Linked DNA regions of Cricetulus griseus. The protein of the gene in region 2 purifies or fractionates together with the protein of the main gene of each other region. This does not show direct contact. Links are inferred from orthologs where the notes say so. Each region holds a gene or a part of one and is shown on either strand. Other genes may lie near its edges.

Evidence for each region.
Region 1: the proteins of Btk (region 2) and Ankrd54 purify together in Homo sapiens (affinity purification with mass spectrometry; 4 studies listed by BioGRID and IntAct, counting the BioPlex papers as one, with this or other methods). This does not show direct contact. The link is inferred for Cricetulus griseus from reciprocal best matches to the Homo sapiens genes BTK and ANKRD54.
Region 3: the proteins of Btk (region 2) and Blnk purify together in Homo sapiens (affinity purification with western blotting; 5 studies listed by BioGRID and IntAct, with this or other methods). This does not show direct contact. The link is inferred for Cricetulus griseus from reciprocal best matches to the Homo sapiens genes BTK and BLNK.

The regions. Positions count from the first base shown.
Region 1 is NC_048595.1:376,176,201-376,182,634, reverse strand, and holds the start of Ankrd54 (ankyrin repeat domain-containing protein 54), read left to right. Parts: upstream 1-2,327; 5' UTR 2,328-2,426; coding exon 2,427-2,751; intron 2,752-4,875; coding exon 4,876-4,923; intron 4,924-6,434. UniProt on the Homo sapiens protein: Plays an important role in regulating intracellular signaling events associated with erythroid terminal differentiation.
Region 2 is NC_048604.1:45,556,889-45,561,981, reverse strand, and holds part of Btk (tyrosine-protein kinase BTK), read right to left. Parts: intron 3,242-5,093; coding exon 3,123-3,241; intron 2,220-3,122; coding exon 2,062-2,219; intron 1-2,061. UniProt on the Homo sapiens protein: Non-receptor tyrosine kinase indispensable for B lymphocyte development, differentiation and signaling. Binding of antigen to the B-cell antigen receptor (BCR) triggers signaling that ultimately leads to B-cell activation.
Region 3 is NC_048596.1:20,564,871-20,571,421, forward strand, and holds the start of Blnk (B-cell linker protein), read left to right. Parts: upstream 1-2,444; 5' UTR 2,445-2,525; intron 2,526-4,665; 5' UTR 4,666-6,190; coding exon 6,191-6,237; intron 6,238-6,551. UniProt on the Homo sapiens protein: Functions as a central linker protein, downstream of the B-cell receptor (BCR), bridging the SYK kinase to a multitude of signaling pathways and regulating biological outcomes of B-cell function and development.

The sequences.
Region 1 (6,434 bases), on a different chromosome or scaffold from region 2:
TGTGTGTTTAACATTCCTGGTTTCCCCGGTGCTTATCTATGAGCTCAAGGACATAATGTTCTGCACTGTTGCTCATGTCAAAACCTCCACAGCCACCCTTTCTTCCCTTTCATAATCCATGCATCTGCAAATCTTTTTGTTTTCTTTCAAGACAATGTTTCTCTGTGTAGCTCAGGCTGTCCTGGAACTCATTCTGTAGACCAGGCTGGCCTCACAGAGATCTTACCTGCCTCTGCCTCCTGAGTCCGAATAAATCCCCCCTTTTTTATTATGTATACAGTCTTCTGCCTGCATGCCAGCAGAAGGCACAAGATCTCAGGAGTGGGGGGATTAAAGGCGTTTGCCACCAATGGGAACTGGCTGCCAAGTGTTATTTTATTTATTGGTTTTGCTTGTTTGTTTGTTTGTTTTGATTTTTCGAGACAGGGTTTCTCTGTGTAGCCTTGGCTGTCCTGGAACTCACTGTGGACCAGGCTGGACTCGAAATGAGAGATCTGCCTTCCTCTGCCTCCTGACATGCCACCACCGCCCTGCTGCCAAGTGTTATTTTAAAATTTTATTATTTGTGTGTGAGAGTGTGGGTGAGGGAAGGAGGGAGGGGAAGGGAGAAAGGGAGAGACAGTGGGTGTGTCCATGCCATGGAGTGAGTGTGGAGGCTAAAGAACATCCACCACAAGATTTGGGATCTAACTCAGGTTGTCAGCCTATTTCAACAAGAGTTCTCACCTGCTGAACCAGTGGTTCTGGAACTTCCTACTGCAGCAACCCCTTAATACAGTTTCTCATGTTGTAGTAACCCCAAACATTATTACTACTTCATAACTGTAATTTGCTGCTGTTATGAATCATAATGTAAATATATGATATGCAGATGGTATAAATATCTGATAAACAAATGGTCTTAGGCTATTTCTGTGAAAGGGTCATGTGAGACCTACAGGTTGAGAACCATTGTCGATCTTGCTGGCTCAGATTTGAATTTCTTAAACCCTTCTTTCAAGATTTACTTATTTATTTATGTATATAATGTTCTATCTGCATGTATGCCTGTGGGCCAGAAAGGGGCACCAGATCTCCTTACAGATGGCTGTGAGCCGCCATGCTAGGTACTGAACGCAGGACCTCTGGAAGACCTCCGAGTCATCTCTCCAGCACTAATTTTTTAAAGGTGTATTTATTTTTATGTGCACTGGTATTTCACATGAGAGTATGTCTGTGTGAGGGTGAGAGATTACTCTGGAACTGCCATGTGGGTGCTGGGAATCGAATCCAGGTCCTCCGACTCATCTCTCCAGCCCCATCAGCAGTCAAATTGTAAATGCTGACAACCAGTACAAATTTCTCTAATATTCTTTAAAGGCCAACCAGTCGAGGCAAAGAAAGATGGAAAGACAAGGCAACTTGTTGGATCTAGCCTGAGCACCTGGTATTCATATCCAACCTAGAAAAATTCCTGGTGAAAAGACCGGCTCCAAGAAGTTGCCCCCAAATTACAAATATGGAGTAGAACAAAACTAGAACCCATGTCCTTGGAGTCCCACAAGACAATGATACAGGCATTTATTTACTTGATCTTTCAAGTGTTTTCTATTTTTTTATGAATTGACCAAATGCAAATGACGTGTGTGTGTGTGTGTGTGTGTGTGTGTGTGTGTGTGTGTGTGTGTACTTGCAGGCCCCTTGTATCAGGTTCAGGCCCGTGTTTGGTAGGACTTTCAAGGCTGAAAAATAGCCCTGAGCTAATTTGTCTACGGAAGGGTCACTCTTGTATAATAACATAAGGTAAAATTCTTTGTTAAATCAATGATCCCTGTGAAGGAAAGAGAACCCTGACAAAGATAAATCTATTACATTAGAAGATATTACCACCTGCTTCGTGGTGATCTTCAAATCATTGTACGTTTTGTGGAAAACCTCTTTCTGTGTGCCTGTGTTCATTGATTCAAAACACACATCAGAGTAGTTTGGTTTCTTCATTTTCCTTTCCGATTGGCTGGAGAGCATCTTATGGTGATTGGCCAAAGTATTTGCCTGCCGTCCTTCCGGATCTACGATAGGAAGAACTGGCAGAAGAGGGTGGGGGAAAGTAGACTGAACTCTGCTTTTTTATTGGCTCCTGTAGCAACACCGCTTAGTGCGGAGCAATCCCAACTTATGATTGGCTTATGTACCCGCCAGACAAACTGCCGTAAACCAGTGTTCTCGTTATACTCTGCCTTCCTTGCCTGATTGGCTGTGTTGTGCAGGTTCCGCGATCTCTGATTGGTCTGACGCTCTACACAGCCCGGCTTGCCTGCACTCTGTTGCCGTGGTTGCAGGCCCCGCCCGCTCGCTCTCTGACAGCGAGGCTTCTCCTAGAGGGAAGCGGGTCCGTTGGTCGGTCCGGAACGAGGCTGGCGCTGCCAGGCCCGCGCCTAGCCGTTGCCATGGCAGCCACCGGCGGGGTCGCGGATGACGAGTCCCGATCCGGCCGCTCGAGCTCCGACGGCGAGTGCGCGGTGGCGCCGGAGCCGCTGGCGGAAGCCGGAGGCCTGTTCTCCTTCGCGGACCTAGGCGCTGCGCTGGGCGGCGGCGCAGGCCTCCCGGGCCGGGCAGCCGGCAGGGCCCAGTCCCCGCTGCGCTACCTGCAGGTCCTGTGGCAGCAGGACGCCGAGCCCCGCGATGAACTGCGCTGCAAGATCCCCGCCGGGCGGCTGAGGCGCGCCGCTAGGCCCCACCGCAGGCTCGGGCCCACTGGCAAGGAGGTGCACGGTGAGCTCAACCCGGGATCCTAGGGTCGCTCGTGAATGATCGCAGCAGTTAAAGCTGTTGAGGACCGTGACTTCGGCCACTTGGACATCCCTGAATAAAAACTTTCCACTCTCGAGAGTGGTTGTTAGTAGACAATAATGTGAGACAATGGAGAATATTTTTATTATTAGAGAAGGGAACCCAGAGCTGTGGCCACGCTGTACCAACTTGTGTGATGCACAGATCTGAACCAGACTGCTCCACACAGACTCACGTGTGACCTCGCTTTCCTATTTGTAGAATGGGTACACTACCAGCTTTCCTTGGGTGTGAAGACTTAGGCAAGGTTCTGATCTATCTTTGTGATGGACCAAGCACTTTTGATACACAACCTTTTATAGTCATTCCAAGGGATACATTGTGGCCCATAAGAAGTGACTTGTAAACAAGTGAAACAGCCAGAGCCTGGTGGTGGTGGCATAAGCCTTTAGTCCCAGCACTCAGGAGGCAGAGGCAAGAGGATGTCTTGTGAGTTAGAGGCCAGCCCGGTCTACAAAGCTACACAGAGAAACCCTGTCTGGATAAACCAAAAAAAAAAAAAAAAAAAAAAGGAAAAAAGAAAAGAAAGAAAAACAGCCAGGTGTGCCAGGTGTGGTAGTACTCCTGTAATCCTGAGGAGGCAGAAGCAGGACTCTGAGTTCAGGGCTAGTCTGGGCTAAGTATCAAGTTCCAGGTTCACTGTAAATCTTGGTGATTACACTCAGTAGATCAGGCTTTGTAGCTAGCCTCTTTTCCCACTGAGTCAGTTATTACCATTTGGACATTTTTTTTTTTTGGTTTTTTCGAGACAGGGTTTCTCTGTGGCTTTGGAGGCTGTCCTGGAACTAGCTCTTGTAGACCAGAGCTGGTCTCGAACTCTGCCTCCCAAGTGCTGGGATTAAAGGCGTGCGCCACCAACGCCCGGCTTTTTTTTTTTTTTTTAAAGATTTATTTATCTTGTATACAGTGTTCTGCCTACATATATGCCTGTGTGCCAGAAGAGGGATCCAGATCTCATTATAGATGGTTGTGAGCCACCATGTGATTGCTGGGAATTGAACTCAGGACCTCTGGAAGAGCAGCCAGTGCTCTCAACCTCTGAGCCATCTCTCCAGCCCATTTGGACATTCTGATTTCAAGTCATATAGAAGAAGGCTATGCCAGTATTCCAACCCCATCTGCTATATTGTTTCTGCAGTTTGTGGGTGAAAAGGAAAATGGGATACAGAAAGATTAATAAATTGGAAATTTTTAAGGTCTCTTTTCAGACTAGCACCATTTCACCTGGTGTCTTAGTGTTATAAAGATCAAAGGAGGGCCTGGCAGTGGTGGCGCACGCCTTTAATACCAGCACTCAGGAGGTAGAGGCAGGTGGATCTCTGTGAGTTCAAGACCAGCCTGGTCTACAGAGTGAGTTCCAGGACAGCCAGGGCTACACAGAGAAACCCTGTCTCAAGAAAGATTAAAAGAGAATTTCAAAGGACTGTATAAACAAAAATGTGGCATATGGATATATGCAATTGTTATATCTAGTTTGCAGTTGTTTTGACCATTCTCTTGACAACAAAGGTATTGCTTTCTGTTAGTTCTAAGGTAGAAGTGGCATCAGTGAGAAGAGGGAAGTTTCTGCTTAGGAATTACTGAGTTTGGTAAGTCATTTAGGAATGACCTGCTTTGAAGCAGAATAATAAAATGTTGAATGCAATTAGCTCACAAAGGACTAAACCTGCTCAGTCTTTCTCTTTTAAAAAATTATCTCAATTTTCTTTGTAACAACTTAAGAGCTGGCAGAACAAGTCAGCCTTGTTGTACGGATGATGGGCTGGGGCCCAGGGTAAGTAACTGGCTTGCTCAAGGTCGCCAACTACGACAAGTGGCAGAAATTAGATCTGGCTCCAGAAGTCAATTTTCTACAGAAATTGGTCTCTCTTCCAACTGTGGCCCAGTTCCAGTTTCTCCTTGTTCCCAGACTAGTGGTTTCTGTCCCGATACCTTTGCCTTTCTGTGCTGCTGTGACGGAAGGGTGGAATATCAGGGAACACTGGGAAGCGATGTGCCTTATGGTTTTGTTACGATTTTGTTTAACTGTCACTTTTCTCTTTATAGCTCTGAAGAGGCTGAGGGATTCTGCCAATGCCAATGATGTAGAAACAGGTGAGTGTGCACAGTGGCATCTATGGGCTGATGGGGAAGGAAAAAGCCAAGTACTCCATACCTGGGCAGTCTGCCAGCTCATCCACATTCCCTCAGAGCATGTTCACTGTATTCACTCCCTGACCCTGAAATCACTGTGCAAAACGGAAGGAAGTAAGGTGTAGGTACTCCCTCACCAGGCCCCTCTGTTACCCAGAGTCTCCTGGTGTCATAGTGCTCATCACCCTGTGTGCTTGCTGATGCTAGGGGCCATGCCTGGTTGTTTTTAATCTCTGGGATTCAGCAATACCCTCAGAAAAAAGCAAATGCCCACTTTGGAACTTTTGGCTCCCAGGAGTGAACACTCCACCTTGACTGCCAGGTGATCATCTAGTACCCCAGGCTGTCCAGTAACTAGTTCTCAGACCTGTTATTGACAGGGCATCTGACAAGCATGGGTGGGGCTCCCTACAGGACATTGCAGCTGGCTTTCTGTTTCTGTTTCTGAGCTTTCCCTAACTGAGGTAGAGCACTGGAGGTATAAGGACAGCTTCTAGGACAAACACTACCACCACCACTACTACTACTACCACCACCACAGTTACTTATTTAATCGGATAACAATACTTCCCATGTGTCAGAGGAAATGGTGTGTTGGAGAAATGGTCTGCTGTATTGTCTAGACTTTTTTCATGGTGACAAAATAGATCCTAAGGAAGGAGATTACTTTTGGCTCATGATCTCAGATCTTTTGGTCCTCAGATCATTTACTGTATTCACATCTCAGTGTGGTGGGGTATGCCCTTAATCACAGTCCTCAGGAGGCAGAGGTAGTTGGATGACAAATTAAGGCCAGTCTGGACTACCACAGCAAGTTCTAAAACAGCCTGGAGTACAAAAGGAGATTAAAAATAATAGGTTTGGTCTGAGGAATGGCTCAGTGGGTAAGAGCACTTCTTGTAAAAGCAAGAGGACCTGAGTTCAAATCCCCAGGGCCCATGTAAAAAAGTTAGGTAAAGGGGCTGGAGAGATGGCTCAGAGGTTAAGAGCACTGGCTGCTCTTCCTGAGGTCCTGAGTTCAATTCCCAGCAACCACATGGTGGCTCACAACCATCTATAATGAGATCTGGTGCCCTCTTCTGGCGTGTAGTGAAGGCATGCATGCAGGCAGGCAGAACACTGTAACACTGTATATATAATAAATAAATACATCTTTAAAAAAAAGTTAGCACTGGGCGTTGGCGCACACTTTTAATCCCAGCACTTGAGAGGCAGAGGCAGGCAGATCTCTGTGAGTTTGAGGTCAGCCTCGAACACGCCAGAGTGAGTGCCAGGATAGGCTCCAAAGCTACACAGAGAAACCCTGTCTTGAAAAACCAAAATAAAAAAACAAAAAGTTAGGTATAGTTCCATGTGCTTGTAACCCCATAGGGGGTTGGAGACAGGTGGATCCTGGAAGCTTGGTGGTCAGCCATCCAACTGAAGCAGGAAGCTGTAGGTTCAATGAGAAATCTTGTATTGTAAAATACAAT
Region 2 (5,093 bases):
AACATGTAGCTTGTGCTAGCCTGAAACTCATGGCAAACCCTCCAGCCTTAGATTCCTGAGTGTTGGAACCACATAGGCCTAGTTGTCCTGATGTATTTGATAATTCAGGAAGGATTCATAGCAGAGTGGCCTCAATCCATCAGAACTAAAGGGTCATCAATTTCTTAGTATTCAAATCAGTGGTTTTCAAACTAGATAAGTATCAGACGTTCTAAGAAACATGAAAGGATTTCTGAGTTCCATAGCAGATATACCTATCCAGAATCTCTAGAAAAGAAGCCCTGTAATTTATATTTTTGAAAATGCCTTAGGAGGCTGGACATGGTAGCACATGTCTTTAATCCTGATACTTGAGAAGAGACAGGTGAATCTCTGTAAGTTTGAGGCTGGTCTGGTCTACATAGTGAGCTCCAGGACAGCCGAGAATATGTAAAGAGACTCTATCTCAAAATAATAGTAGTAATAATAAAATCCTTATGAGTAGGGTATAGTAGTGCATGCTTGTGACCTCAGCACTTGGGTGGTAGAAGTAAGAGAACCAGAAGTTGAAAGTCAACCTTGTCTACATAATCAGTCTGAGGCCAGCCAGACAATTCAAGACCCTGTCTCAAACAAATGCCTGCACCACACACCTGGCTTATGAGGTGCTAGGGACCAAACCAAGGCTTCATTCATGGTAGGTAAACACTCTACCAGTTGAGCCACATTCTCCAGCCCCGGAAAAGCATTTTTAGAATAGTGAAACATGATCCTTATTTCTACAATACTAAAAATTCACCCTCTTAAAATCTGTATTATATTTTTTAATGAGCTAGAAAATTACACAGTATTTAAAGCACTGACTGCTCTTCCATTGGACCCAGGTTTGATTCCCAGAATGTACATGGTGGCTCACAACTGTCCATAACTCCAGGTCCAGGGGACCTGATACCCTCTTCTGGCTTCTATGGGTGTATCAGGCACAATCATGGTGCATAGGCATACATATAAGTAGAACACCCATATACGTAAAATAATTTAAAATATTTTAGAATCAAAACCCCAAAACCAAAGCAGACAGACAAAAACTACTTCAGGTCCCTTCTAAGCAACAGAGTTTTTAAAATCTCATTTAGAACCTCAACCAGAAAAGATCAGCAGCTGGGCTGGAGAGATGGCTCAGAGGTTAAGAGCACTCACTGCTCTTCCAGGGGTCCTGAGTTCAATTCCCAGCAACCACATGGTAGCTCACAACCATCTGTAATGAGATCTGGTGCCCTCTTCTGGCCTGCAGGCATACATGCAGACAGAACATTGTATACAAAATAAATAAATAAATCTTAAAAAAAAAAAGAAAAGATTGGCAGCTAGTAAAGTGGAAGAGATTGCATCTTCTAGAGCAGGAAGACTGAGGTGGTTATTTACTATTATTTGTGTAAGTGCTTCCCTAACAAATACCTGTTTATCATTTATCTTGGATCTTTAGGACCCATTTAAACCCCACCTTCAATTGGTGCCCACATGGGTTCAGTCCCATGATTAGCCTGCACGGCCGGTCGACCACGGCTCCCATGACCCCAATGACCAGGAGCCAGGCCCGCCAGCCTCCCTGTGTTGACTCAGTCAGATGAGCCAGCCCCTCCTCTTCCTCATAAGGGATCACATCTCCACCTGGAGCCATACCCCTAGGATGTGGCCACCACTGCAAGTTCACTGGCAAAGCAAGATGTCACTACAAGAAGGATCAAAACTCCTAGGTGAGTCCCAGATAATGATTACAGATATTATAACGCCCATATCTTATCTGAGTGCCTTTGATAGATAGTATGGTCCCACAAACTCCTCACACTTAGAGCTGATATAGGCATTAGGGTCTAGTCTGCTAATGATACTCTATCGAGGATGAGGGTGGCAATGGAAATGCCATCAGAGGATTGGGATGCAGGCCAGAGTGAGAAAGTATGTGCAGCTATAAGTCTGTGCCCAGCTAACAGGTGACCACAGAGAGAGGGGACTGCCTGGCAAATGAGATATTAAGGAAATGCAAAGGAATAATTTCTGAGAGAACACTCCAACACTTACCTCATGCCAGCAGCTGTACATGATGGTATATACCCTCTCTGATGCTAGATGAGGCCTATAGAGACGTAAGCCTTGAGCAATGTGTTCTGCCGTCTCACTGTTAGTAAATCTCTCATATGGCATCTTCCCAAGGGAGTAAATTTCCCACATTAAAACCCCTAGAAGATACAAAAGAGAAGCGTACTCAGTCTTTTTGGACTACTTGGGGCCTAATCCTTCTGGCTGAACCTTAAAGATTAAAATAAGTTTACCCTCCGTGAATTTTGCATTTTGCTCAGACATCTGCCATGGTCCGGGCTACACTAGTGGTGGCCAACAGAGTCACACTAAGCTTGACCATTAGCTAGTCTAGAAGAGAGGCCGTGTCTTGTTTGTCTTGGTAGCTTCAGGGTCTGGCAGAGTGCCTAGTACATAATCAGTATTCAGAAGCCATTGAATAATGAATGGTTTGTTTCCCAGGATATATTGTAAGTTCTAAGAAAACACGGATTATGTCCAGTTTGCTGTGGTTGTCCTCAGAAGCCCCTGTGGTTCCTGACATCCTGACACATAAGAAGCATCCAAGGATCAGATGAACAATAACAGGAATGTAAATGTCAATTGTCCTGTTATGTTCTATGTTCTTCTTTGAGCTGTATAATCTATATTCTCTCCCCCTCACCAGTGCGTGTATCTGTGTGTGTGTGTGTGTGTGTGTGTGTGTGTGTGTGTGTGTGTGTGTGTGTGCATGTGTGCTCATGTACACCACAGCATACAGTGGAGGTCAGATAACAACCTTGAGTGTTGATCCACACCTTCCACTTGTTAGGTGTCTCTTGCTGTTTTTCTGGTAGATTCTACAGGCTATCTGGTCCATGAGTTCCTTGTCATTCTCTGGTGTTTGCCTCCTATCTGCTGGCAGAGGCATAGTGAGATTCCAGATGCCTCTATTCACTACTGTTACCCAGCTTTTATCTGGGTTATGGGGATCTGAACTTAGGTTGTAAGGCTTGCATGAGAAGTGGTTTGGTTTACCCACTGAACATCTCCACATCCTAACCTGTATGTTTGTGTCTACTTACCAAAAGCCCAAATGTCAGATTTGCTGCTGAACTTGCTATACATGAGCACTTCTGGTGGAGACCACCGGACTGGGAATTTGGAGCCTACCGAGCTGGTGTATTCATCATCCAGGACATACCTGCAAAGAATTCAAGACTTGTTGCTATTACACTTTAGACAGCTTGATATGTTCCTGAGTCTTCTCAGCACACCCATGAAGGCTGCACAGATACACATTTACATTCTTTCCCAAAAGTTTCTGCAGGTCAGCCAGTGCATTCTACAAATGTAATTTTTAACAAAACCTTGGTTACAATTTCTTTTTCTTTTTTTAAAAAAAGTATTTATTTGCCTTCTATGTGTTTGAATATAGCATTGTATATGGCAGGCTAGTACCCTACTAGTGATATTCACTTCTGGTCCTTTTTGCACTTTAAAAAAAAAATGAGACAGTGTCTCACTAAATTACCCAAGATGGCCTTGAACTTTTCTGAGACAGGTTTCTCTGTGTACCCTGGCTGTCCTGGAACTCACTCTGTAGACCAGGCTGGCCCTGAACTCACAGAGATCCGCCTACCTCTGCCTCCCAAGTGCTGAGAATAAACGTGTGTGCCACTACCACCCAGCAAATTGTGAGCTACAGGTGGAAGCTGGGTTTGAACCCAGGTCCCCTGGAAGAGCAGCCAGTGATCTTAACCACTGAACCATCTCTCCAGCCCCTTGAACTTTCAATCATGACACTGCTTGAGCTTCCAGAGTCACTGGGATTACAGGCCTGTACCTTCAGGCTCAGGTTCCATATTGATTTCTGATTTAGCTTTCCTGATACACAATATGGTTACAATAAGAATAAACAGAGGAATAAAACTAACAAGGACTTCTTTCTTCTTCTCTACTCCACCTTTTTTCTCTGCATTTCTTCTTCCCCATTTCTTTCATTCTGCAGTAGCCAATAAGGGTTAGACCAAGAAAGGAAGAATGGAAGAAAGTCAGCAGGTTTCATATCAAGATAAGATATTGAGGAAATAGGAGAAGGATGAAGAGGGGGAGGAAGGGTGCAGAGGAAAAAGAGGAAAGGAGAAGAGGGTTACAACAATGAAGGAATGGATGAACCTGGCATGGTGGCTCATGCCTGGAATCCCAGGATTCCAGAGGTTGAGTCTGTTGTGGGCACAAAGGTCCTTGTACCCATAGATCACTAGGGAAAACAGGGATGTCAAACACACAGAAGCCTCTTCTCCAATGGAGGAGATAAAATACTTGCTTCCTGCCTGGAAAGCTGGGAATGGATTTTGTTAATCTGGTGACCTTTTTGCTATCTGTGGAGGCAGACCTCACCCACCTTTTGCTATAGAAGAAGACCTCATCCAAATCCCCCAGAAGGATTATCCCAGACTCTTCCCTCTTTAGATCATTACCCATCCTTAGTGGGGTTGTCACATGTACTTTATGACCTGCTGACCTCTATGATATCTCAGTCAGAGACCACACTAGATTCTAGGCCTTTTAGCTATAGAACCTACCCTCACGGTCACATGTACTGTGTCTCTATGTAGTCACAGCTTAAGCTTTATTGTGCACCTGGAATTGGGCTGATTAGACTTCTTGTTGCCTGGAAACCTTTTCCCAAGTTGTACCGTGTTTTAAATATGTTAACAATGAACTGCCTAGCATTAGACTCCCTGAAGTCTGACCCAGGCTGAGGAAGTCAATCTAAGAAAGTCAAACATAGATTGCATAATGCTTTATTAACGCTAAACTTTCTTAATGCCAATGACAGTGGACAAACAGCTTCGGAAAGACACTGGACTACGAAAAAACTGCTGAACTGAAACAACCAGTGTATTTCAAAGATGTACTGACCTCGGTATGGAAACCCGGACATGTGTTACGTTGGGGTAGGGGTTTTGCATTTGTTTCCACAGGAGAAGAAAATCTTTGGATACCATCAAAATTGATCAAGATTCGAGTTGAAGAAGACAACCCTCTCA
Region 3 (6,551 bases), on a different chromosome or scaffold from region 2:
AATCCCTGCTTCTCGCGTGCACTTTTTGCTATATAAGGACCCCTCTCCCTTGGCTCGGCGCGCTTGGCCTCACAGAAGCTAAGTCGCCCCAGGTACCCGTGTCTCCAATAAAGCCTCTTGCAGTTTGCATCCAAGTTCGTGGTCTCACTGATTCCTGGGTACGGGTCTCCTTCTATGAAAGTACCTCCACAGGGGTCTTTCAGGCCAACCAGTACTTTATTTATCATCCAGTAAGACAAACACATACACAGAAGCACTTTCCCCATCATCTCCTCTTTTCTGTCTAAATAAAAAGAAGGATAACTTATCTTTTATAATAACTGAAGAAAACTATAACCATAACTATCTGTCTTTAACTCTATCAAAGACCACAGAAGGATAATATATAAACTCTAGAATTGACAGAGACATCTGGCTACCTGAAGAGTCACCCAAAGTTCCTCTGTAACATTGGGGCATCCATCTTCAGTCCATAGGCCATAGTATGTCTGGCACACTTCTCCATTTCAACAGGAACCTTTCAGTACTGTCTTATTTTGTAAGTTCAGCAGTCACTTTCTTGTGGGTCCTGTATGTCCAGTTTATACAGTGACAAACAGTCCAGGCAAGAGCAGTTTCTTGCTCAAATGGCTAATCTTGCCATGTTGAAAGCAAACTCCATAACAAGTTTCTTCAATGCCCATCCTCCTTTCTGATGTAATTGGTGTGCCAGGAGCAGTTGTGTCTCACTGTCAAGAAAACCCTAAACCATTTAAATGCCATATTTTCTGTAGGTCTTTGAAAAGTTTGAAGAATACCTATCCATCTTAAATACATCTCTGTATATCTGAAAGACCTAACTAACCTAATTATAAGTTCTGACTATCATAGGTGACTATATAACCTGTATTTAATTATGCATATCATTTTAAAAGATCTGTATAAACACAATACCTAAACAAGAGGCGACATATACATATCACAAAATTGACCTTAAAGTGTCAATCAATGAAAATCCATACCAATGCAAAGTGTTCATTCCTATGTCCTACTCCCCTTTTTTTCCTTTAAAAAGAGATTGACTATGCTCATTACTATTTGTAACCAACCCCATTTAAATGTAAACAAACATTTATAAACAATATTTGGGAATTTGGGCGTCGTTCATTCCAAACTGCTTCCTGCTGATTGGGGGCGATGTCCGTATCATGGGGATCATGATAAAACATAGAAACCTGACCAAGTCCTTGTTTTTGTAGTCCATTAGGTTGCATCATCTCAGCTGCTTTGGATGTAGGATCAGTTGGGTCACTGCTTCAGGGAGTCTTGACCTATGCTTGATCAAACCATATTAGTCTGGAAGGAATCCACAGCTTTTCATTTTCTGTGGAGACACAAGCAAAAACTTTTTTCCCAAGTAGCCTGTCCTTAGACTTAAATTTTTAAGTCAAAGCATTTTTAAAATGTATAAGTTGGATTAATTTAGCAGCACTTATAATCAAATGTATTTTAGCAGCAGTAACTCTTTCCTCGGTAATCAAACAATTTAAAGACAACAATATAGCATATAGTATCTAGACTCTCTGTGTATTCCATCTTTAGGTGGCTTTTCTATTATTCTGTTTTTACTTTCTTTTGTTTCTTTTTTTTTCTGAGACAGGGTTTCTCTGTGGAAATCCGATTGCCTCTCCCTTTGGAGTCCTGGGATTAAAGGTGTCTGCCACCACACCCAACTACTCTATTTTCTCCTGTTATTTTTTCTCTCACAAGCCTACAGATATTTTTAAATGTAGTGTAAACCTTTAGATGTTTTTCTTTATCTGGATCTGTCTTTATCATCTTGGGAGTGCCGAGTCCAACCTCCATGAACTCCATGATGGCGCGAGCATATGCCTCTCAGCAGCCCAAAAGGGCCGGCTGTGGCAGCAGGTTTTCCTCTTCCTCTGGGAACCTTGGGGCATGGGGTCATCCCGCTCACTGACACCATTCTGTTACCATAAATCTTTCTGCTAAAAGCCACTGCAGCCCTACTGCCACGTGGGTGCTTTACACCAGCCACCCGAGTCTGCCCGACAAGTTAGGGCCCCAAATAATACACAGACACTTATATTAGGTACAAATATGCTTGGCCAAAGACTAGGATTTCTCATCTGTTAGCTCAGTCTTAATTATCACAAATCTATATATTTTATAAGACTTATCTTATAGAGGATGCCTTTCACTGGCGCCCTCTCTTGCTGGTGGATCACATGGTGACTCCAGAGCAAAGACCAGGAAGAAGAGAGAGGGGTGGCCCACTTCCTTCTTGCCCTTGTTCACATATGAGTCTCCCTGCTATGTCACTTCCTGCCTGGATCACCACTTCTTTACTACATTTCCCAGAATCCTCCTTGACTCCTAGTCCTGCCTAACTTGCTGCCTCATTGGCCAAACAGTACTTTATTTATCATCCAGTAAGACAAACACATACACAGAAGCACTTCCCCCATCACCGGATATCATTCATCTGGATTTTCTTTATTCCCCTCATTGATTTTATCATGCATGTATGTATTTTTAATATGTTTTGTTGTGGCTAGCTTAACATTAAATAGAACCATACAACATTAGTCTCTCTTATTTTTGATATATTTTAATTAAAATGTAATTGTATCATTTCCTCCTTCCCTTTCCTCCTAACCCCTCCCATTTTCTTCCTGTCTTCCTTTCAAATTTATAGCCTCTTTTTCTTTGATTATGGCTTCCATATATATATATATATATATATATATATATATATATATATATACATATGTGTGTGTGTACAATTATGTACATACAACTTGTTGAGTCTGTTTTTGTTGTTTGTGTGTAACTGTATTGGTGTGTTGCGTGTAAATGATTTCAGAACTGACTACTTTGTATTGGATGCTCAGTTAGGGGCCTCACCCTAAGTGAGGTTAATTTTTCCATCTCAGAAGTCATTGGAACCTATAGTTCTTTGTCTAGGGGAGGGGCTCCATGAGAGTTTCCGTTTCTGCATTGAGAATGTCTGTTGATATTCCCACTGTATGGTCTGGTTTAGACAGCGTTTCTATGAGACATCAACTTATTTTTTAAAGTTAACTTTTACTTATATGTGCATTCACATGCTCTACTGCTCACATGTGGAGGTCAGACGTGACTCGAAGGAATTGGTTCTTTCTACCACATGGGAACTGGAGAGTAAATTCATAGTCAGCCTCGTGGTGAGAGCCTTTTCCCACTAAGCCATCTTACAGGCCTGCTCATTCACTTCTTCAGTTTGTCTTTATTGCACCAATTATCATCATTACCATTATTATTTTTACTTGGGCTGGAGAGATGGCTCAGTGCCTAAGAGAATTGGTTGCTCTTCCAAAGGACTTGGGTTTGATTCCCAGCACCCACACAGAGGCTCACAACTGTCTGTAATGGCAGTTTCAGGGAATCTGAACTTTCAGCCATGCCTCTCTCCCCCAGGCACTAAGTATTCAGGTTAGGTATAAAGACATGCATGCACACAAAGCACTCATAGATATAAAATAGTAGTAAAATAGTTTTAAAGAGAAAAACACTATTTTGCTATTTATCCATAGTGATACAACTGGAGTTCCCTAGTGTCCAATATTAAATAGTATTCGTTTATGTGAATGTGGCACACTCATTCATTATTCTCCTGCTGATGAACAATTGGGCCATTGTTTTTGTTTTTCCTGGTAGAGACACCACTGCAAGCTGGTGTTCAGTGGTGCAGCACTTGCATGGCATGCACAAGGCCCTGAAGGAGAGGAGCAGTAGCCTTTCACTGAACATTCATGCAGTGGTGTTCCACTTAGAAATGTCTTAGAGACCCATCACCTGTGCAGCCCTAAATATGCACACCACCAAACTTACTAGACAATACCAAACTGTCTCCAAAGTGGTCGTGCCTTATACTTCTCTCAGCAGTGTGCATGAATCACAAATTTTTTTTAAAAAAGCATATTACCGGACATTTGTCATGTTAATGTAGTGATCCGATCATCTCTGTGCCTGCTGTTATAGACTGGGCTTGAACGCTCATCACGGCCTGTGCCTTGTGGTTTCACTCCATTAACAAGTTAGCAGCTAAGAGTTGGTATCATTGGTTTCCATTCTTGCATAGCCCTTCTGGGAAAGCAGTGATGGCTGTAAAGCCATTTTGGCAGGCTTGGAACGTTGGGCTATGACACTGCACACACTACACACCACGTGGGGCAAAATGTCCAGCCTGGAAAAGCAGATTCTCGTTTTCATCAAGTCAGAGTTAATACAGTAAAAAGAAGAAAGACAAGCCGCTGTAAAAAGAAAAAGCAGAAGTATAACCCTTGCCCCTGTCTCTTTCTCTGGGGAAATAAGAAGCTGCCAGACCAGGTGCTGAGTGGAGTTGGTGGAGGGGAAAGTTGGGGGGGCCAACGGAGGAGATTTTACAATCATTCAGAAGGAACAAGAGGCTGTTGTCATCCCACTGGCCAGACCCTCCCGACCCTTGATGACATCATACATGTTTTCCTCATGTTTCTTTCCACTAAGCACTGTGGGAGCAGAGGGGCCCGGAACTAGAGCTCCTTGAGAATATACTGCAAGAAAACCAAGCAACCTGATTAGGGAGAACCAACAGCTACAGAAATCTAGCTCTGGCATTTATCTCATGCTGATCTACTCTAGGGCAGCAGAAGGATCCCCACCCTTCATCAGTCCTGAATCGTCAGCTCCCAAACATCCTGAGGGATGGGAGATTCAGACATCATGCATGAATGTGAACAGTCAAGGAACCTGGAGGCGAGAAGACTTCCGTTTGAACAAAGAACCAGGAGGGAAGAAATCCATTCTTGCTCTCCGTCTCTCTGTATGGTCCTCCTTCCCTCTCTCTCTTCAGTCAGGCCTTGAGGCTGTAATGGAAGAGAACTGAAAGCCTCCAACTTTGTCCCCCTGTGCATTCGTTAGACAGGTTGATGGTCCTTTGATTATGTGAGGAACATAAACCTCCTTCACAAAGGACATACCGGGTGGCAGGAGTAGGGGTGCCCAGGTACGACAGGAAGAAAGAGCACTCCCTCTGCTTTTCTCACCCTTGACCTTAGACTGCCTTCGGCTCCTTAACTCACAGATAAGTCAGAGGCTTGCAGAGTAGGCAGAGGAATGGGTAGGTGTCTTGAGGAGGGCAGAAGAGCTGTCTGGATGGGGTCAGCAGGTGCAGGTGTGGGAATCACTGTCCTTGGGATGACCCAAATCTGATGTATTACCTGGGTCTGATGAGAGGACAAGGTGAGCAGAGTCCAAAATCAGGAGGGGACAAAGACAAAGACACGGAGGGGAGTTAGGAGGCATCTGCCTGATGTCATGTGTTAGGAAATCACTGGGCTTGTTCTCAGCTGATTTTGAGCATATCCTGGTTTTATTTGAAAGCATTAAGCTTTCAGCAAGGCAACTCCTGACTCCACACAGTGTATAATGGAGATCATTTTTCCTTCTGGAATCGCCTATCTCTACCCCTAAGTGACACGGACCTTCGCAAGGAATTAACGGTCCCATTTTAAATACAGCTTGAGAAGAAGAGACCCCACATCTCTGAGTAAATGACCACTGCCATGACCTTGCCACCCAGATGTATGAGGAAGGAGCATTATGAACAGTCCACTTCATATCTTAGGTCTCTGAGCAGAGGAGGCTAACCCATGCCCTCATGCAAACGAGCAGAAAGCCCCCAAGAGTCATCCAGGTGTAATTGACTGTTAGCTTTTCCTTGTACATGGCAAGTTGCAGGTGACCCTGGCCATCTGCTGAAAACAGGGACTAACTACCTAAGGTTTGGGACAAACAGGAAGGCGTGTCCAGCCAGAAGCTTATTCCAACCTGGCAACAAACCTGGTCATAAAAGAGAGCTGCTGGAAAGAGATTTGCATGCCCAATAAGGTTTCACTACTGAAGTTTACACAACGCACAGTAATCTGCCAAGCAGGCTGACTCCCTGGATCACATGATCTCGTAGAAACATGAAACTTGACGATGCGCTCCAGCGAGTTTTACTTCCCCTGTGCAGGGGTGTTTGCCAGCAGCCTGCGGTTGCTCTCAGAAGTCAGTTCCAGTGGCTTGAGCCCTTGAGCCCAAAGCCTTACCATGCAGCTCCCTAGGAAGGCCAGGAGCTGCTGATATCCCCTTGGAGAGCGACCCACATCTCCTCTCAAGAAAAATGGACAAGCTGAATAAGATAACTGTCCCTGCCAGCCAGAAGCTGAGGTAAGTTTCCCTTCAGATCCTTAGCCCTGTTCCTTCCCCACTAGTGCTCCTACTGTTTTCGGAGGCACCAATACCCTAGAGTACTCCACCAGTTCCGAGGAAATGACTGTTCCCCAATGCCTATGGGGAAGCAGACCGCATTTTTTAAGAAATATGTAGGAACCAGTGGAGCTACTCTGGCTGGTTTTTGCCAGTGATAGGACAAAGGGTGACGCTCTGGAAAAGCAAGAGATAGAAAATTCTATGGCCCACATGTTACCGATGGTCAGCTTTCTGGGTCTGAATAGGACACACTGCCGAGGAAGGGCTTATCC